Linked DNA regions of Saccharomyces cerevisiae S288C. The main gene of each other region encodes a partner of the protein of the gene in region 4 in a complex. Each region holds a gene or a part of one and is shown on either strand. Other genes may lie near its edges. A codon is read from its position in the direction of its gene.

The links.
Region 1: RTC1 (region 4) and SEC13 share a complex: the UniProt entries of both Saccharomyces cerevisiae proteins name them as parts of the SEA complex.
Region 2: the proteins of RTC1 (region 4) and SEH1 are in contact, whole or in part, in a cryo-EM structure (PDB 8ADL), measured with the Saccharomyces cerevisiae proteins. Residues at the interface, in NP_014503.2 of Saccharomyces cerevisiae: Ser128 (codon at 4,189), Asn439 (codon at 3,256), Thr440 (codon at 3,253), Gly441 (codon at 3,250), Glu470 (codon at 3,163), Arg474 (codon at 3,151), Arg480 (codon at 3,133), Tyr482 (codon at 3,127), Ile483 (codon at 3,124), His486 (codon at 3,115), Val487 (codon at 3,112), Leu489 (codon at 3,106), Pro523 (codon at 3,004), Val525 (codon at 2,998), Leu526 (codon at 2,995), Glu527 (codon at 2,992), Asn528 (codon at 2,989), Leu529 (codon at 2,986), Ser530 (codon at 2,983), Lys531 (codon at 2,980), Asn532 (codon at 2,977), Thr533 (codon at 2,974), Thr534 (codon at 2,971), Thr535 (codon at 2,968), Trp536 (codon at 2,965), Arg537 (codon at 2,962), Asp538 (codon at 2,959), Leu539 (codon at 2,956), Asn542 (codon at 2,947), Gly543 (codon at 2,944); in NP_011415.1 of Saccharomyces cerevisiae: Met1 (codon at 1,566), Gln2 (codon at 1,563), Pro3 (codon at 1,560), Phe4 (codon at 1,557), Asp5 (codon at 1,554), Ser6 (codon at 1,551), His8 (codon at 1,545), Asp9 (codon at 1,542), Asp10 (codon at 1,539), Leu11 (codon at 1,536), Val12 (codon at 1,533), His13 (codon at 1,530), Asp14 (codon at 1,527), Val15 (codon at 1,524), Val16 (codon at 1,521), Tyr17 (codon at 1,518), Asp18 (codon at 1,515), Phe19 (codon at 1,512), Tyr20 (codon at 1,509), Gly21 (codon at 1,506), Arg22 (codon at 1,503), Val24 (codon at 1,497), Thr26 (codon at 1,491), Ser29 (codon at 1,482), Asp30 (codon at 1,479), Gln31 (codon at 1,476), Leu38 (codon at 1,455), Trp45 (codon at 1,434), Arg52 (codon at 1,413), Asp55 (codon at 1,404).
Region 3: RTC1 (region 4) and IML1 share a complex: the UniProt entries of both Saccharomyces cerevisiae proteins name them as parts of the SEA complex.

Annotation. Positions count from the first base shown.
Region 1 is NC_001144.5:557,705-560,996, reverse strand, and holds SEC13 (GTPase-activating protein SEC13), read right to left. Parts: upstream 1,447-3,292; coding exon 553-1,446; downstream 1-552. Other genes in the region: PNP1 (purine-nucleoside phosphorylase), read left to right, coding at 1-200; ubiquitin ligase complex subunit HRD3, read right to left, coding at 1,708-3,292. UniProt on the Saccharomyces cerevisiae protein: Functions as a component of the nuclear pore complex (NPC) and the COPII coat. It is one of 5 proteins constituting the COPII coat, which is involved in anterograde (ER to Golgi) double-membrane transport vesicle formation.
Region 2 is NC_001139.9:311,407-314,799, reverse strand, and holds SEH1 (Seh1p), read right to left. Parts: upstream 1,567-3,393; coding exon 517-1,566; downstream 1-516. Other genes in the region: ribosome biogenesis GTPase LSG1, read right to left, coding at 1-169; YGK1 (5'-deoxynucleotidase), read right to left, coding at 1,960-2,607; 60S ribosomal protein uL15 RPL28, read right to left, coding at 2,873-3,273. UniProt on the Saccharomyces cerevisiae protein: Functions as a component of the nuclear pore complex (NPC).
Region 3 is NC_001142.9:682,628-689,846, forward strand, and holds IML1 (GTPase-activating protein IML1), read left to right. Parts: upstream 1-1,939; coding exon 1,940-6,694; downstream 6,695-7,219. Other genes in the region: MET5 (sulfite reductase (NADPH) subunit beta), read right to left, coding at 1-658; HOM6 (homoserine dehydrogenase), read right to left, coding at 6,818-7,219. UniProt on the Saccharomyces cerevisiae protein: Component of the SEA complex which coats the vacuolar membrane and is involved in intracellular trafficking, autophagy, response to nitrogen starvation, and amino acid biogenesis.
Region 4 is NC_001147.6:60,781-66,974, forward strand, and holds RTC1 (Rtc1p), read right to left. Parts: upstream 4,571-6,194; coding exon 545-4,570; downstream 1-544. Other genes in the region: CDC33 (translation initiation factor eIF4E), read right to left, coding at 1-244; BSC6 (Bsc6p), read left to right, coding at 4,841-6,194. UniProt on the Saccharomyces cerevisiae protein: Component of the SEA complex which coats the vacuolar membrane and is involved in intracellular trafficking, autophagy, response to nitrogen starvation, and amino acid biogenesis. May be involved in a process influencing telomere capping.

The DNA.
Region 1 (3,292 bases), on a different chromosome or scaffold from region 4:
CAAGACATTGCGGATGGAGGGTTTTGGCCTTAAGTTTGATTACCAATACTTGCGTGGTGGATAGCCCTGCCAGTGCGTTGGACGAATCACCTGTACCCTTAGAAAAAGGCAAAGCGACTCACGCTGAAGTACTGGAGAATGGTAAAATCGCCTCTAATGACGTGCAAAACTTAATTGCTGCCGTAATGGGGGAATTATAATTGTTATAACTTAAATACCTCTATTTATTACATAGCGGGAAGATGTACCTTCGGCCGGTAGAATAATTTCGCCTGTTCTATTGAAGAAAAACAGTCTTATATATCTATTGTATATACGTCGATTATTTTTGTTCGCTTGTTTTTGTATAAGAAATATCTATGACAATATTAATATAAGAAGTTGCAAAAAAAAAACAAAGAAAAAAGTTGAAAAGTTTTTGAAAACTTCCACAAATCTTTAATTGTTATACGTTACTGTACATTATGCGTTTATTTCCCTTCAAATTCGTCGATAGACTCATTTGCATTCTTTTTTCTTTTGAGATGTTTCATTTTAAATTCTTGATACTCTTCACTGATGAACTTCACCAGCGGGTTCCCATTTACCCTCAAGATTTTCCTTCCATAAAGTAACTTTATTATCGCCACCGGAAAGAGCTAGTACATTACCTGACAAAGACCAACTGGCTCTCCATAAAACATCTGGGAATTTTTCTTCTTTTAATAAAGTTTTTTTCCATGGGCCTTGTTCATTGTCTTGAGTCCAAATAATACAGGTGCGATCTTGAGAAACACTGGCCAAATAAGAACGTAGAAGAACAGTAGGTGACCATGCTACGTCTCTAACCCAATCGCTGTGACCTTCTAAGGTGCTTTCCAGAACATAAGTTTGGGCATCTGAATTGTACTTCCAAATCTTTACCAAATTGTCAGCACCCCCAGTAACAAACTTGCGAGATTCTTTAGTACCGTTGTGTTCACCATCTTCTTCGATGGTAGCTGGAGCCCAAGAAGCAGAGTTAACGCCAATGGCATGAGCATCGATGATTATTGGGGAAGTAGTACCGTTTTCTTTGAACTCTACTACGGAGACCTTACCATCAGAGGAAGCAACCAGCAGTAGGGGGCCATATTCATGAGGAGCCCATTGAACAGAGTTGACAGAAGCAGAGTGGACAGCATGAACGGCAATTTGAGACCATCTACCGTTTTCTTCCTTCCAAATCAACACTTTACCATCATAAGAACACGATGCCAAAATGGTTCCGAATTTAGGATGTGCCCAATCAACACGCCAAACTGGGCCTTCGTGGCCAGTCAACGTGTCTATTAACTTGTGTGTTTCTCCTTCGACTTCAAAGATCTTGATTGTCTTGTCAGAAGAGCAGGTTGCAAGGCGCTTCCCATAATAGTCTAGAACAGCGTCATGGATTAATTCGTTGTGCGCATTAGCTATGACGACCATTTGTATGCTGATATAAAATTATCTGTTATCTTTGCGCTTGTAAGTTATTATTATTCAGAGCTGGAAGCCAATTGTATCACCTTCGCCAATGCACTTTCACTGTTCGAAATTGTGTTGATCTCAATGGGGTTAAAGCTCTAGGGTGGTAATTCTCTGTCGGTTTCGCTTTTTTTCTTCTCGCTGTTCGCTTTATTGAAAACTTTCGGGTAATGCGTGGGTGATTTCTATGGATAGTCTATGTATATATCTATACAAACCACATCATATGGCGAATATCTGAACATTGAAGTCCCAGCCCGGGGGACCTTGTGCTTGTTGTTGTTGTTGTTGCTCTTGCTGCCGGTTACCATTTGCATTTAATTGTGCTCCATTGAAACGGACATTCCAGCCTCTACGGGCCGCCAGTGTACTCATTAATATACTTAATAGGAATATCCCCAAGATACATCCCATCGTAACAAGATCCTCCATTTGGAAGCCCAAAATCTCGGAAGCCTCCTCTTGGTCGTCACCCCTATGGTTAGCTCCATTCTGCACTACAGTTCTGTGTTTGTGAGAATCTTCCGCAGCTTTGTCACTATCCTCCTTATGTCTCATTCTTTGTAGAATCTTCGTCAATTGCTTGTACCATGAAGTCTTCGAGTGCTGAGTATCTTCGTTAGGGTTAAGTGGCGAGGAAGGTTTCCAGTAGTTTACTTTTTCTCTGGTGATCCAAGTCAACCATGACTTTAGGTGTAATTTTAAAACACTCAATTTGGAAGCCAAGTAAAATCTATGATCGTGTTCTGAAACTTGGTCGTAGTAACGTTTAGCAAGATGGAAATCTCTGTTTACACCTAGCCCATGCTCATGCATGTACCCTAAGTTCCAGATAGCCTGTATAGAGTACTTCAAAGCTGCACCCTGATAAAGAGCCATAGCTTTACTGTAATTCTGCATCTGAAAATAGATATCTCCCGCGACAACACCAGCATCTATATTTCCCTGTTTAAACGCTCTTGTATAGTAGGAAATTGCCAAAGTTTTTCTCTGATCTGTGGTTCTTGGAGGATCCTCAAACTCATATGGCAACTGGTACATTAAGTAGGCGGCAGAGACTTGAGCAGTCTCGTAGCCTTGCTCGGCTAGTTGGGAATAAGCCCATAAAGCCACTTCTGAACGATCGTTGATTAATGCGGCAAATGCTGTCCTCAGTTTAGGTGCCATAATAGCTTCGTTTTTGTCAACGAATGTTTTGAACAGGTAAGCAGTGTTTTCCACACTACTCTTACTGTTCATTCCAGATTCGATCATTACTGCAAACTCATATATGGCTGGAATGAATCCATTCAAGTAGGCAGTTTCCATTAAGTTAAATGGGTCGCCGATTTTTTCTTCAGGGAATGAAGTGGCCAATTTGGATAATTGGAATTCTACGATTCCATTGTTAGCTTGTGTTTTCATAGCTTTCATATAATACGAAATTGCTTGAGAAATATTGTTTGTGATGTATTGATTTATTAAGCCCAGATCTATGCACGCTCTACCTATAGGTCCCTGTGCCCTTCTGCTTATTTCTAGCGACGTGGTCAGGATCTCTTCGGCCATATGAATATTAGGCTTCGAGGAGCCTTCGCCGGTGAAATACATGTGCCCCAATAATTGTAAGCAACGGACGTAGTAAAATACTTGCAAAGGATCCAAATTGTCGACATGAGGCTGAAATTCCTTGTACGTTAATTCCAACAAGTTTTTGGCGCGCTCACAATTTCTGCTTTGTGAATATGTTCCTTTATAATCATTCAAAGCTGCATAATATATCCGAATGATTCGTCTTTCACTGGCATCCTCGTCATCTTCGTCGCCA
Region 2 (3,393 bases), on a different chromosome or scaffold from region 4:
TATCGGTAGTGAACCTCATTTCACCATCAGGTAAATACTCGATGGCATTTTCTTTTTGACGTGCATATTTAATAGCTCTGCCTAATTCAAGCTTATTTTTATTTTTACGGTGGGTAGGTTTTGGCCCTTTTGGCGCCTTCCATTTCTTGGGAGCTTCTTTTGGTGGCATAGTTGGTGGGGGTCCTCAATATCAGATTTAGTTTTGTGTTTAAAAGAAGTTGGCTTATAAGCTCATCACCTCTTTATTAAGTAGTAGAATGCATTTTCATTGACAAATTTTTTAATCTCGGCATTGAAAAATTTCCAGGCGAAAAGGCGAGGGAAGGGAAGCTTGATATAATTCGAAAGAATACCCAATATCAAGAATAATAATATCATTTGATGTAATATCATTATATTTGTAAGAGCTTTTTAAAAGCATCATCTTTCTTGATTCATCTGTTGCCTCGTATTATACAGAATAATGCACACGTATAAAGTACCAATATATAATGTTATGTATACATATATTCTTATTTATTGTTGGGCAGTAATTACTGACATACACTTAAATTCATTTGAATAAGTGGCTTTCCATAAACGTACCTTCCCATCATCCCCAGCACTGCTTAAGATTGTACCCGTTAAATTCCAAGACACGGACCAAACTTCGCCATTATGGTCATCATGCTCGCTTAGAAGTTCAACTTGCAAGTTTGATTGTAGCTCAGCTTTCTCTTCGGTATTTGAGTCTGATCTGCCCTGTGCATCCATGTCAACATCAGCACTATTATCAAACATATTTGAGTTAGTTAAAGACTCCTCTGAGGCCAGGGGACTTAGTTTTTCTGTGATTTTGAAAATTCTAATTCTACCATCTTTGCAACCTGTTGCAATGAGTTGATACCATCTACCAATGGAAGGAGCCCAGCTGATACTTCTTATTAAACTTTTATGACCGGGAAGTTTTGCTGCAACGTGAAGTTTACCGTCTTTACCCCTTTGGTATATAATCGCTTGTTCCAATGCAGAGACTGCGAGCTTTTCAGGAGAAAATCTCGAAGGACACCAAGAGAGACAAAAATCAGACTGTAAATGATTTGCTGGTGGTATAGATAGCACTTTCATCTCAGAAGTCAGTGTCCATGACCTTAGGTCAGAAGGTTCTAAGGCATCATAAAGTCTGAGGATTCCATCGTTACCCAAACAAGCTAATTTTAAGCCCAAATGCGCTGGCGCAAATTTTACACTATAAAGTGATCCTTTGGAATCATTCAGGGTACACAGCTTGTTCCAACGACGGCCAGAGCATTCTTCTTGGTCGGGATCTTCTTCCCATAATTTTACCGTCTTATCGTAAGAGGCTGAAGCAATGATGCGCCCATATTCTGGACTGGCCCAATCAATGGCCACGATACTACTGTCGTGAGCTCTCCATGAGTCACTGAGTTCCCAATTACTCGTGTCCTTGTCTAATTTAAAAACTTTAATATGTTGATCAGAAGAGCATGTTGCCACATGTCTTCCGTAAAAGTCATAAACGACATCATGAACTAAATCATCATGCCCACTATCAAATGGTTGCATATTCAGAAATATTATTGGGTCGTTCTTCTTCTTCCTTAGTATCTCTTCAGAAGGGAAACCTTGTTTATAATTTGGTTTACTTGTCTCTATTCAGTTCATGATTTTTTCCATCGTTTTGCCGAAGACTTAACTAACAATAAATAAGAGAAACAGATATATTAAAACTTGGTTGATAATGCAGCACGCACATTCAATCGCGAATAATATACAAAAGATTATTTCTAAAGTTACATATAATGCACACCGGGTGCTGGAAGTATAATACATGCAAAATAAAATGGGCACTATCTCGTTGAAAAGCATCAAGATGTTATTATAAATGATACGCACCACCAGGTGAAGGTTTGAGAAAAGAAAAAAAAGCACTAACTTTTCTTTCAAAAGGCCACATTATTACTCCTTCAAACTGTCGAAAAAGGCTTGTCGATCTTCCAGTAAAGATTGTGTCCATTTTTTAACTTCATCAGTTTTTATATCATTGATGGCTCCCAAAAATTGTTTCAAATCCTTCTTGCCATTATACTTTTGTTCGTACTCAAAACATTGAACCAACATTTCATACTTATCAATATCTTTGACATATCTTCCTTCCAAACAGGTCTGCTTTTCGTATGCTAACCAGTCATCAAGAATTTCCCTAGATGCGCTTTCACTGCAGGGCCTTATTATGCTTTCACAGAGATACTTGACAGTTTCAAATTCTCTGCGATGTTTCTCTTCCTTTGTCATTGGGTCATTAGGTGTAATATCACCAACTAATGACTCCGCAAAATCGTGAACAAGTGCGATTCTGATACATTTGTTACGATCAACATTCTTGTCCGTAATCAGCATGGTAGTTAAACCCATTCTGTACATATGGTCAGATATACTTTCGCATGGGTCAATACCATGGTCAACCCAACCAGTTCTTCTTTGCGTTTTCAAAAGTTGTATAATATTCAAAAACGCTAACTGATAATTTGGGTGAGGTTTCGAAAGAATTGCCAAAATCTCCCTAGGTATATTATCTTCTGGCTTCCAGATGTTAACTGCAGTCATTTTGTTTTTCCTGGTCTTTACCTCGAATAGGTTTTCTTGTTTTGTTATTTGTTTTCTTTTTGGACCCTATGTTTATATATGGATTTTGAAAATCTTTTAAAAAAGCGATAAAAGCGTTGGGATCTGCCACTGGTAACTTCAAAATAGACAAGACGAAAAAACGGTGAAAATGGGTGATAGAAATAATACAGAAGTAGATGTTGAATTAGATTAAACTGAAGATATATAATTTATTGGAAAATACATAGAGTTTTTGTTGATGCGCTTAAGCGATCAATTCAACAACACCACCAGCAGCTCTGATTTTTTCTTCAGCCAACTTGGAGACGAATCTAGCTTTGACGATAACTGGAACATTTGGAATTCTACCCTTACCCAAGATCTTACCGTAACCGGCTGCCAAAGTGTCAATAACTGGAGCAGTTTCCTTAGAAGCAGATTTCAAGTATTGGTCTCTCTTGTCTTCTGGGATCAATGTCCACAATTTGTCCAAGTTCAAGACTGGCTTCCAGAAATGAGCTTGTTGCTTGTGGAAGTATCTCATACCAACCTTACCGAAATAACCTGGATGGTATTTATCCATGTTAATTCTGTGGTGATGTTGACCACCGGCCATACCTCTACCACCGGGGTGCTTTCTGTGCTTACCGATACGACCTTTACCGGCTGTACAAAAAAAATATTGTAATGAAATACAATTTTTAAATCGTTAGTAAAACAGGTTTTCAACTGGACATTTTATCGAAACAAAAGAAACGTGGTAACTCTTTTTCATAATTGCGCTCT
Region 3 (7,219 bases), on a different chromosome or scaffold from region 4:
GCAATACGCTACTGAATTCCGCGTCATATGGTGACAGGTTAACAATGACAGTGGTAATTGACTCTTTACCTTTAACCAGTTCAAAATTTGTCAATGAATCAGTAGCTTCTGATAATGCTACTTTAGTCTCTTCGTTAGCAATCTCCAAGGTAGGAAAGTCGATGTCTTGTTCAATAGCTGTACTCGTGCCAATTTTCTCCAAGTTAAGAAAATGGAAAACTGGGGTCAGAGAACTTGTAGCAATCTTATAAGAAGAGTCCGCGTTTGAAATTGCAGTTTGCAAATCAGAAGATATTAAGATGGGGAAAGAAAGATCCTTTAACGCAGGAATTGCGGAATAATCTTGCAAATTCAAATCCACTGTAATCACCAATGGAAGTTTATTAGGAAGAGAATATAGATGGTGGATGGATTTGACCAAAGTAGTTTCATCTGTAAAAACGGTAGTTAAAATGTCCTTAGAGAGTTGATCTTTGATGGTATTCAATGGATCTTGATTGTTCAATAGATGAGTAGCATCTGTGGCAACAGATTCTAGCCCTTTGAAGGATGAATGACTATTTTTTGTGCTAGTAGTGTAGAACACTTTATTTTGGGGAGCACTAGAGGAATATTGCGCCAACAATTGTGGGAGCGTCAAGAGGTCAGAAGCAGTCATTCGCCAATCTTTTGTTTTTCTCTGGTTCCCGTTCCCTACTGTTACTTTATTAGTATATAAGGGATCTGAATAAATATCAAGACGATGGAAAAAAAATAACAAGCAAAGGAACCTTTCTATATCCCAATTTTATTTCACATTAAAAACTATCGTCTTCCAACACTTTATATAACTGCTTGCAGCGGCCAGTAATTCGTCGCATCTCCATGACTCAAATTTTCCAGTGTCTCTTAGCAGTTAAACCATTCCTGCCTCTGTGTGGTGGTAATTGTGGCATTATGAGTTAAGAGATAATACGCACGTGATGAAATTCATTCTGTGAAATATCACGTGGACAAATTATATTACCCGGATTCATAAATCCACGTATTTTACCTGCATCTTTATTGAGTGCTTAGTAAAAGTCAGTTGGTGAAATTCCGCAGATAAAACAGCATATTAGTTGCCTGAAAATAGCCTTATGTGTTGGTTTGATACGTCTTTGTCATTATATACCCAAAGGTTTGTAGTTCATGTTGCGGGTTGGTATGAATAAATTTTTCGTATTTAGTGATTATAATACTTATTACCCATTTCGGCGGCTAATAAGGAATCTGCTAAGATAGGTAAATGTACAATACCATCAATGGCTTCTAAAAGTTTTCAAAGAAGTGGGATAAGGGATGAAAGTTGTGCGTGTGTTGGTTACTTAGGTTCTAATTTGGCTTCAATTTGAAGTGAGATGTTTTGTTTAACATTAGTTTCAAATTAACAGCTTTTGTGAGAAAATATATTTTGGATGAATAGCAGAAAATAGAAATCTGGAAATAAACAAAACAGAGCCAAAATTCTAAGCTTAATAACATGAATATTTGTTTATCTAGCATCTTGTTCCTCCCACTCTTTTTCCGAAAATATGGCTAGCCAACTTAGGTGAATGGGGAAGGGTACTAGATTCATTCATTTATTTCTATTCAAGGACAAGAACTTTTAACATAGTAAGACCTTTATGTTAGTTTGGTGCGGCTGACAAATTCATAGCTAATGTGCTAGAGCTCTTATATTGGTAATTACTAATCCTTCATTGCTATTATGACTATCACATTATAAGGTAATGAAAAATTAAATCATTGTGTACGGATTAAGTCCTTTCTCTAAAAGAGATCACGTGACTATTTGAATCACTATCTATGTTAATCATTATTGTTTAAAAGATAGTAAGTGACAGAACAACGAATTGTTTCTGTAACTACTTTTTAAGCAGGGAAATAACTCAGCACTGACAAGGGACACTTTTTAAGGATGTTCGCTAAATTGCATGGGAAGAAACAAAGACCAATTTCTTCCATCAATTCACAAACTCCAAGGACTAGCAATACTACTCACGCAAATAGCATATCCTTATCATCGGGTAATTTGATAGTAGGTTCCAATAGAAATTTAAGACAAAAGAAAGAGCAGTTTGGTTCTCAACAAAGGGCTTCCGGCAGAAAGCTGATTTCAAATAAGGAAAATGACGATAACGTCAACAATGGTGGTGACAACAATTATGACAATGGGGAACGGGTCCATCGCCATCATATTCCAGGACTGAAAATAAAGGCGTATCAAGCTGAATTAGGCTATCATGAGTCCCGATTTTCCGAGAATTTAGTGATGCTAAATCTAGTTGAGTTCCCGGATATAAAACCTGGTGATTTGGTAGAATTGAAAACATATCACAAAAATCCATCTGCATCGAACGGAGATAAGAAAATTTATTTTATTGCAAAAGATTTTGACGGAGAGACTAAAAGAAGGGCAAAAACATCTAATGTTTCAATACTTTCGGGTCAACTGCAAACTTTGTTAGATTTGCCTTCTAGGTCTAGGATATGGATAAAATTGAAACCAAACAAATTTGACTTACAGGCAGATGTGGTAGAGTTTAATATCAAAGATTGCCTACTAAATAGAGGTGATATGTGGGTTCTATCATCTAAGCTGGTAGATACATGTGTGTTTATGGATCAAAGACTGGCATTCTTAGACTCTATCAGAGGTACTATTAAGGGAATTTATCGAAATGGTAAGAAGATTGTTTCTGGATATATTGGCGAACAAACAAGGATAATTTTTCGGTCCGAATCTGCCAGATTAATTTTTTTGATTCAAATAACTGATGAAATGTGGAACTTCGAAGAAACTGGTGAACAATTATTTCAAAAGATGGTTAATTCATTTTTCCCGAAGATCTTCAAAAAATGGAAAGATGTGGACACCCACCATACTATCACTATAGCCTTCGCTATATCAATGGACTTGTCTGATACATCATTCAAGGACTTAACACCCGGCGAATCTTTGAAAAATTCACAGGATTATTTTAGGATAGTTGTAGATCAAGTCAGTATTATCCATTGGGTTGATATTATGGAAACATTAAGAGAAGAATTTATGGAAATCAGAAAAGATTTATTAAACAAGCAAACGGATAAGGGTTACAGTGTAGCGAATGGAAGATTTTCACCTGTAATCAAGTCGAATTTTCTCGAATTGGTCAATTTTGCCACGACAATTTTAACGGATCCTTTCAAGCAATTAGATCTTCGACACACTACAACGCACGTCATGATTATTTCACCAGGGTCTGGATTATTTGACGTTGATTATAGTTTATTAAGGCTAACAGGAAAAAAACTACTCTCTCTTGAAATGACGATGGATTTAATATGTCTTTCAAAAGCTCCATTGCACATAGTTCCACTTTTTAGGTACCGAGACTTTGAGAACAAGCTTCATCATTGTGTACCGCTTTGGTTAAGTGTTTTCTTTTGGAATGATCATGACAAAAAGAGTAACTCAGAATGGACTCCAAGATGTAAAATTTATGACTTACAAATGATGGGGATTACTGAAAATGAGTTAATTCGGGAAGTGGATGTTGAATATTTACAGCTGAACAAGAAAGTCAAATCACTATCCGAGTTTATGAATGATTACGACAAAAATGCCTTCGAGGTGAAAATTTTATGCGCTGGCTCTAATACGAAACAATCTAAGAAATTAAATTCAAAGTTTGATACCGTCTTCGAGAATGATGTTGTTGTGAAGGCAAGGAAAATCCCGGCAACAGCAACAACAACACACGGTAACACAAAATTCATATGGAGAGGTCCAAAAGTTGCTCTCCCAGCCATTAAGGATATTCAAAAACCAAACGTAATACCAGATCTATCAATAAAAACAATAGAGGCCTCTTTTTATGATGATTGTAATACTACAAATGATAAAATTAGCACTCCCACCACTTCTAACAATGACAATCTCGAAATGAATGACTCATTGGTCTCTGTGAGATCTGCTGATAACCAAAACACATCTTTGGCGCTGGATTCGCTCAAAGGACTAAGCAAAAGGAACTCATTGAAAGATTTTACTCAAAGAGTAATTACAAAATTTATTTCGAACATAGACACAAGTAAAAATAAAAAAATAAAGTCAACATTACTCAGAGATGATGTGGATAACTCACCTTTAGGTTCAAATACACCACTACCATCTTCTGAAAGTAAAATAAGTGGCCTGAAATTACAACAAAAAGGCCTGGCAGATGAAAACGTTATCAGTAAACGTGGAAATTTGATAATAAAGAAAAACCTATCCATTTTTGGGCTACCTAGTAATGAAATCATGAGTGGTTCACCCTCCTCATATTTAGGCTCATCACATACCAGAACATCCTCTAAACTTTCTAATATGTCAGACAAGGCTGCTTTCATTACAGAAGGGCAAAAATCAAAACATGATGACTCGAACACTTATAGCCTCACACAGCAATTGAAACATCGTATAAGTGAAACTTGGGTGGATATTAAAAGTCCTTCCATTCCGGTAAGTAGTGAATTTGCCAACGAATTATTGCCTATACGTTGGAAAGATGTATGGCCAAAATATGTGGCCAGAAAATATAGTAAATGGAGGTCTTTTACAACCCCAGCAGAGTTACCAATCACAATTTCTGATTTTCCATCCAAGGATGATTTTGATAGGAACTTCATCTTCAGAAATCACTCAGTGACTTTAAACACAGATCAAGAACAATATAATCAGACATACAAAGACTTACTTCGTGATATGATTTATATGCGACTGTTAACTGGTTTTCAAATCTGCGTGGGCCGACAAGTAGAAAAAATAGAACTTTCTAGGGAAAGTGGTGAAAGTGAAACTGTAGTCAACAAGTATTTAGATTTCAATCAAAATGATGCGTTCAAACTTTATCTAATGATCGACTCTGAAATACACAGAATAACATGCTCGTCAAGTGGAATTATTGATGTGGAGAGGTATTTGAGAAAAGATGAAGCAAACTTGTTTGATCAGGTTCCTAGTTATATTCCGTTGGTTAAAACGAGATACGAGAGCTCATTTCGTGATGCTATGATTGACCCACTTCATGTTAAAAGAGAATCTTTGAACTGGAATCAAATTGATCAGGTTCTAGCAGGTTATGGCGATAACTTAATAGATAGGAAATGGCACGGATTTCGAGCTAAATATGTGGTGTTACCAACAGATATCCCTCCCAACACATATTCTATGGTTATCAATGGTAAAAGCGAAACTTTAAACCCAGAAGAAATCAGAGTCGAGGGTTTGAGAAGATTAATTGGCTCAATAACGAGGTCAAGACTAAGAACAGAGAAAGAAAAAAAAGGAAGAAAAACTAAGAGAGAAGAAATACAGCCTGAAGTTATGTTTTACACCGGCCCGCTTTACAACTTCATTAATGAGCAACAAACATCTTTAGAAAGCTCGGCTATAAATTTTAAAGATTCAATTTTTGTTAATGATAATAACCTTTTAAACAGAAATGTAGAACTATCCAAGTTGGCGTATCAAATTCAACGTGGCGAAGATCGCATTACTTTAGTCAACAGAAAATGGCACTGGAAAAAGCATGAAAAGTGTTTTGTTGGCTCGGAGATGGTTAATTGGCTCATAAGAAACTTCTCTGATATAGATACTCGAGAAGATGCAATTAAATATGGGCAGAAGGTGATGAAAGAGGGATTATTTGTTCACGTTTTAAATAAGCACAATTTTTTGGACGGGCACTACTTTTACCAGTTCTCACCTGAATACGTAATGGACACTAATAAACTAGAAAAAACAAACTCCCATCGCTCTACATTATCCGATCCAAAGCAGATGTTGAGAAAAGCATCCACTGGTAGCTCAAACGATCCAAGCGCTATGACTCCTTTTTCTTCAGTAGTACCTGCTATAAGCGCTTCGAATGCTTCAGTTGCTGACGCCAAAGAGCCATCACGCCCTATTTTAATGCTGAGTAACTCTCTTGTTATCGATGTTGATCCCGCGGGAAAATCCTCGAAACAAGAATCGTGTACAGTCCATTATGACAGAGTTCATAACCCCGACCACTGTTTTCACATAAGATTGGAATGGTTGACTACCACCCCAAAATTGATCGATGATTTGGTTGGGAACTGGTCAAGGTTATGCGAAAGGTACGGTTTGAAAATGATTGAAATTCCTTGGGAAGAACTTTGTACTATCCCTTCGGTCAATCCATTTCACTCTTTTGTGGAAATTAAGTTAGCTATCAATCCTTGGGAAGATCCTGAGTTCAAGGATAGGGAGCTTTTCGCTAAAAGCAAATTCTACTACCACGTTTATCTTTTAAAGGCATCTGGGTTTTTATTAGACAATAGGGCATCCAAATTTTTACAAAATCAAGATATAGAGTTTGACATCATGTATTCATGGGGCAAACCACAGTTCAAATATGTTCAATATATTCATCATACGGGTGCTTACGTCGCGGAATTGAGGGAAAATGGCTGCCTATTTTTAGCTCCTAACAACATTTATATATCCAGAGTGAATCCGGGAAACATAATCGGGAAAATTCATTCTGCTTCAAGCTCTTCATTAGATGCTCAAAAAGTGATCCTAAATTTCAAATCAACTTGCTTGGACTATCAGAAGTTAAGGTCAATTTTCCTTGACGCAAAGGAAATGTGGATTACAGGAAAGATTGTAGAAGATTGAGTAGCCCCATGACATGGATGAGTTTCTTCACAAAGTAAATAATATTCGAACGTGGATAGTAAAGCATAATGTTATCTATTTATATATAAATATACCTATGTTTTTATATGTCTGTTTACTGATCTAAAGTCTTTGAGCAATCTTGATAACATCACCCAAAACACCAGCGGCAGTAACGGCAGCACCGGCACCGGCACCTTGAATGACAACAGGATTGGTGTAACGCTTAGTCTTGATGGAAATAACGTTATCTGATCCCTTCAATGATGCGAATGGGTGTGAGTAATCGTACTTTTCAATTCCTACAGACACAGATTTGGTGGCAACATCGACTTTACCAATGAATCTCAATACCTTATTTTCAGTGGCAGCTTCCTTCTTCAATTGAGTCAAATCTTTATCGTAATCAGATAATTTTTCCAAGAATTCATCAGCAGACTTGACAGATTCCAATGGTTTTGGAATCAAAGACTGGACAGGGAAGGAAGTTGGAGATTCAACTTCCACACCAGATATCCTACCAAC
Region 4 (6,194 bases):
GAATATTTTGAATGATAGCCCAAAATTCTTCAACAGTTTGGAATGAAGTGACGGGACGTAATAGATCAGACCACGACTCAGATTTATCGACGGCTGGCTTTGTGTACCATAAAGTCCATTTGGTGTTCAATGGGTGCTTGACATCGAAGTGAGCACTGTCACTTAAAACAGTCTTTGGAGTAGCTGTGGTATCATCGACTGAAACGTTTTCTTCAAACTTCTTGCTAACTTCTTCAACGGACATTTTTCTTCCTTTCACTAGTTTTCAGACAAAAATGCTTTTATTTTTCGTAAAACTCCTAGGAAGTACTCAAGCACTAACACAAACACATATGTACAATATAAATCCAGAATTAACACTACCTCTTGCAATGTAAAACTCTCTTTATCAGGTATTGCATTAAACTCTATTGACGACGAAAAAAATTTTCTTTTCGGAGAGGGTAATAAAATTTTACCCGACCTTTTTGACGGGTAATATTACTCTAAACGATTTAACTAAACAATGGTGATGATATGTTAAACTATACATTATGTGGAGAACCTAGATGAATGCAACACCGGGGCAACCGCCGGGACATTCTTGTTCATTCTCATCGAGAAACCATTCTTGTATGCACTGGAAGTGACCTTCGTGTCCACAGGGGAGGATGACCATGGTCAGTTTCTTTAATGGTCTTTCACATAGAACACAAGATGTATTCTTCTTCTTACAAGAGTCACAATACCAGTATCCAAACTTGTCCATGATCTTCTTATTGCCCGTCTGCTGAGCTTCCGCTCTGAGCTTTTCTTTAGAACTTTCGTTAGTGATTAACTCACCACAGCGTTCGCAAAACAACCGAATGGAAGATTGGTCACCCTCAGAACCCATGATATCTTCGAATGGGCAGTATTTTAAGACGTCTGCAGCAATGCCGAAGAGTTCGTATCGATGTAATAATAACAAGAAGTGAGCGATTGCGTCCTTTGCAATGTCGATTTCTGTTATTTGGTATATCGTTTGGAAAAGAAATAAAATATTCACCGTCAATACGACGTTCCCAGTCTCAGTAGCTTGATTGTAGAGTTGTTTGATGAGTTTTTTCGTGTCCCAGGGTGGGTCAGCGATAATTTTCTTGCATTTGGCAAGCTTTTTCGTCAATGAAGAAGACAGTTGTTCCCTACCAATGCTATCTGGCCGTGATGGCGCATGTCTGGGCGATCCGATTATTGGTGCTGTATGGGAAGAAAGCTTTTTAAAAGTTTCTAGTTGCGAGGTTGTTGTGGCATAGCTTTGTAGCGACGAAACCTTACTGCGTGGGCTTACGCTGTTGTAAGTAAACCTAGGAGATATATTGTCATCTTCGTTACCTATGTCCGTATCTCCATTGTAACCGTTGGGAGAATGCAACATGAAAGTATCTATGAATGACTTGCGGTGCTCACGTTTCTGCAATATTGGTATACTTTTCGCGATAGGAGACGCGTGAAATTGTGCTGACTTAGTCGGTGAGTCATGAGGCTGTTCTTCTTCTTGATGTTCATGTTCGTCTTCCTCTATAATCACATCGTCACTCACTGTTTCTCCCATTTTAGTCCTTGACTCCAAGCGTTGGTTCTGTAGCTCTTTTAGCTTAGTTAAAACTTCATCTGAATCCTCATTTGGCTGCGCATAGGGGATTATTTCCGTGTTTTTGAGCTGCTCTTTGAGCTTAGAAACAGGTTTCTTTTCGGCATCACTTGGTTCATCAGAGTTAGCACGAAATGCCTGCGGCCTTTCTTCAACTAACGACTCAGCCCCACTTGTCCCTGCACCATCCTCCTCTGGGAACTCTTTTCCTGTTTTCAGATTTTCTCCAGCTTCGAAATCGGAGCTTTCATTGGCATCCATATTAGATGCGTTATCTGATGAAATTTGGGAGGAGGTCATCCACTTCAAGTCCCATAACAATGAATCTCTTATCAAGATCCAGATTTTGAAGTTGGTTAGATCATCTATGGATAGATAAACAGATGCGTTATGCGTTGCAATAGATATCAAATCTACCAGTGTTTGTATTTTTTCTTGCAGTTCTGCTTCCACGTTCTTGTCGATCTTCCTAGCTCTGTCATGACTTTGCCTACTTGCAGAAATGGAAGATATACTTGATCTGACATCCTTCTCGTCAAACTCCCTCGAACTACTGGAATTTCTTTTGGATTTTTTGTTATTTACTTTTTCATTCATTAAGGTAGCCCATGTATTATTTTCTGGAAAATTGTATTTTTTCAAAAGGTGACTTTCGATTATTTTGTCATCATCATCATCATCATCATCATCATCACCATCATCATTATTATTGGTAGTAGTAGTATTATCACCATGTGTTTCGGTTGCGTTTTTAACGACGTCAATGTTCTCTATATCATTTTTATATGCAGTGTCTGCACTGTCTGAAACATTATGCTCTCGAATATACGAAAACTTGAGCTGTCTCGCCAAATATTTGAACTTTTCTACTGGAGAATTTTTCATAGAAGAACTTTCGGAAATGACGTTCTTTTTTCTTGAATGTGCGATTTTGGTTAATCTTATGTTATTGAAGATCTGCGGTATATCCAAAGTGATGATACAAGGCGGTTCAATGGCGATTTCTTCTCTATTTTCAGTTTGTGGCGTCAGGGATGTCAATGATGCGGAAGAGCTGTTAAAAGAAGATGCTCCAGATGCTAATGTTAAGCTTTTTGTGCTAAACGTTGGGCCTGCTTTTAAAGTAGGCGGCCTCTCTGGCGTAAAACTTGTTAATCCAGTATGGCTAAATCCTTTTTTTATCCCTCCAATTATTCCCTGGTTCTCTGGATTGCCATTCTTCGGGTTTTTTATTGTACCTGGATGCTTCTTGCATGTGGTACTTGAGGTAGGTTGAAGCTCCGGTTCTACCACCTCATATGAGCCTATCTCTTGGTCAACTGAAAGTAAACCGTTACCATCCAAATCTCTCCAAGTTGTTGTATTTTTGCTCAAATTTTCGAGCACTGTTGGTTCTTTGTTAATGTCCCAGCCATTTATACGGGTCCCCTTATCGATATTAAAGATCAAGTTTTCGTCCCACCATACTAATCCTAAAGAAGGCGTTTCTGATAGGAGAACATGTTTTGGAATGTACTTTCTTGCCAAGGAATAGATGCGAACTTCAGCTTCGTCACCCATTGACGATATTCCTAGTAATGAATTATATATATTACTACTATAAGCAGGCTTGAACTTCAATTTAGTGACTGGATAGCCCGTATTAATTGTTAGTTTGGGAAATGCCAGCGAGCCGCTATTGTTCAAGGACGTATTGGGGGCATGTAACGAGGGAGAGTTCCCGTAATTGAGGACTGTATTTTCGGCGGCATTGGCATTGTCGCCAACAAACCAGAGGCAGCATTTACCGTCTCTACCACCTGTAGCAATGTATTCTTGATTGGGATGCCAATTTAAACAAAGACCGGGTCCTGTGTGAGCATTTAATTTTTTTTCGTATTGGGCAGGTTGTCGAAGATCAAACTTTAGCAAGTATCCCGAATCGTGAATAGAAGCAAATTTGTAACCGCTTTTTAAATTACCATACGTTGATGAACCTTGATCGTTCTTAGATGCAAAATTGTAACCGGGCATCCATTTTACATCTCTGATTGAGTCAGATGCGGTATTTATACTAATGTCAGATCTATTTGAGCTTTTAGATTTATTGGAACGTAAATCCCATATTTTTACACAACTATCTTGTCCACCACTTATTATTAGGTTTGATTCGACCATGTTGAAGTCAAAACTATTGATAGATCTAGTGTGTTCGCATAAGGATGTTATCAAGGGATTGTCTATCGAGGAACTCTTATTGAGATCATATATCGATATCGCCGTAGAATTGTTGCACACTGCAATACAGTTCTTGTAATTATTAAATCCAGTCTTAACATCCGCAATGGTACTAAATTTGTTCTGTCTTGTTCTTTTGCTCAGCTTGGGCAAAAGGGATGTCGTTCCCCTTGTTGAGGTGTTGCTATTAGGTGTTATGAAATCATGAACGCATTTGATAGATCTATCTGAGGGCGAGAATTTATAGAGCCCCAAATGAGTTTTACCTGCACAAACAAGACCGTTAATGTTTGGATCATTCACTTTGTCTATACTAGATAATTCTTTATCCACTTTGGTGGTGTAAATGAGTCCAGACGACTTTCTTGTATTTGTGTTGATTGCATTTTTCTTTGTTTTGATTTTCATGTTCGATTTATTGCTCATGCTTCCGGTTGTTTTTGCGTAAGGATTCTTATCATATGGCAAATAACTATCGTTGAATGAACTAGTTCTGTGACTTTCAGGCATATAAACCCCATTACTGTAAGAAAAAGTTGGAGTTAGATTAGGTCGCCGTATAGAATCTAACACGGAAGGTTGTCCACTATTTGAGTAATGATTCATTCGAAAAGAAGAATTGTTGCTTGACGAAGATCCAAGAAACTCGCCCTTGCCTATAGAACTAACGTTTCTGTTTTTTGGTATCGGGGTACTCCCCTTGGGAATGGAAGCATTTTCTACGTGTGGTGATAAGCTCATGATTTTCAACTAAATCCACTCAATAGCTCACTCGCCTTCAGCCAGCAATCGCACCATATGTATTATCAATCGGTTTTCCTTTTTCAGTAATCATCGTTATATATCGATGTTTTTGACAAATTAAAAAGAACGTTCCGAGACAGAAAAATTTAAACTCTCCGATCATGCATAGCTAGACATTCAACAGTATTCTAAAATGCTATAGTAAGAAACCAAGAATAAGATCCTAGGGATTCATAGTATAATTTAATCCATATATAAGTTTTCAGCATGGATGCTTCCTCGGTTCCACCAAAGGTAGATGATTATGGAATGTATACAACTGAAATTTCACATCATAACCCAATAGAGTTGAAAAATCTGCTATCATCATCAGACTCCAGAAGAAATTCTCAAGATGAAGATAGTCTACCTAACAATACAAACTTAATCAAAGAAATTGACTGGCAGGGCGAGAAAGTTAAAACATATCCACTAAACTATCAAACTGTACCACTAGTAAAGCTGCAGGTGATAGCATGCTTGATTATGTTCGTAGTCTTTGGTATGAACGATCAAACAGTAGGTGCACTACTTCCTACGCTAATTGAATACTATCATATATCGCGGGTAGATGTCTCAAACGTATTTATAGTCCAATTATGTGGTTATGTGATGGCGTCTTTATCAAAAGAGAGATTGAATAAGCACTTTGGTATGAGAGGTGGTATGCTTCTAGCAGCTGGTTTGTGTATAGTATTTCTTATCATTTTAGCAACTGCACCTTCTAGTTTCTATGTTTGTATGTTTTGTGGCCTTCCTCTTGGTTTAGGGATCGGCATCTTAGATTCTACCGGTAATGTTTTAATGGGCAGTCTTTTAGTCCATAAGAATGAACTCATGGGTATCATGCATGGTCTTTACGGGGCAGCAGCTATGGTTACTCCTCCCTTAGTTTCATATTTTGTTGAATGGGGTCATTGGTCTCTTTTTTTCCTTATTCCTCTGTTCTTTTCTATAATAGGCATGATTGTAATCTTCCCAGCTTTTAAATTTGAAACTGCAAGTAAATACGACTACCTCTGCTCTGTGGAAAACAAAGAAAGCAACAATGATGTGGAAGAAGCGGGTGATAACTCGCTGATGGAATCTACCAAGGCGAGCCCAGGATTTTTTGAACTTTTAAGAAATCCTGCTATTTTCTTGTACTCATTGTATTTGTTCCTTTACTTAGGTGCTGAAATTACAACTGGTTCATGGTTCTTTAGTTATTTATTGGAAACTAAATCAAGTAATAAGGTTGCTATGTCATACATAGCGGCATCGTTTTGGACAGGTTTGACTGTAGGCAGGTTGTGTCTAGGATTTGTTACTGAAAGATTCTTCGAAAACGAGTATAAAGCAAGCAAAGCGTACGCTTTTTTAACTCTATCTTCATACACCTTATTTGTGCTTGTTGGGTTGATCAATTCAAGCTCAGTTTTCTATTTCGTCGTGTTATTTTTTGTTGTTTTTTGTTGTGGTACGTTTATCGGACCATTATTCCCAAACGCAAGTATAGTTGCATTACAAGTATTGCCCAAAAGACTACATGTGAGCGGGGTTGGGGTTGCCGTCGCCGTTGGTGGTTGTGGTGGTGCAGCCA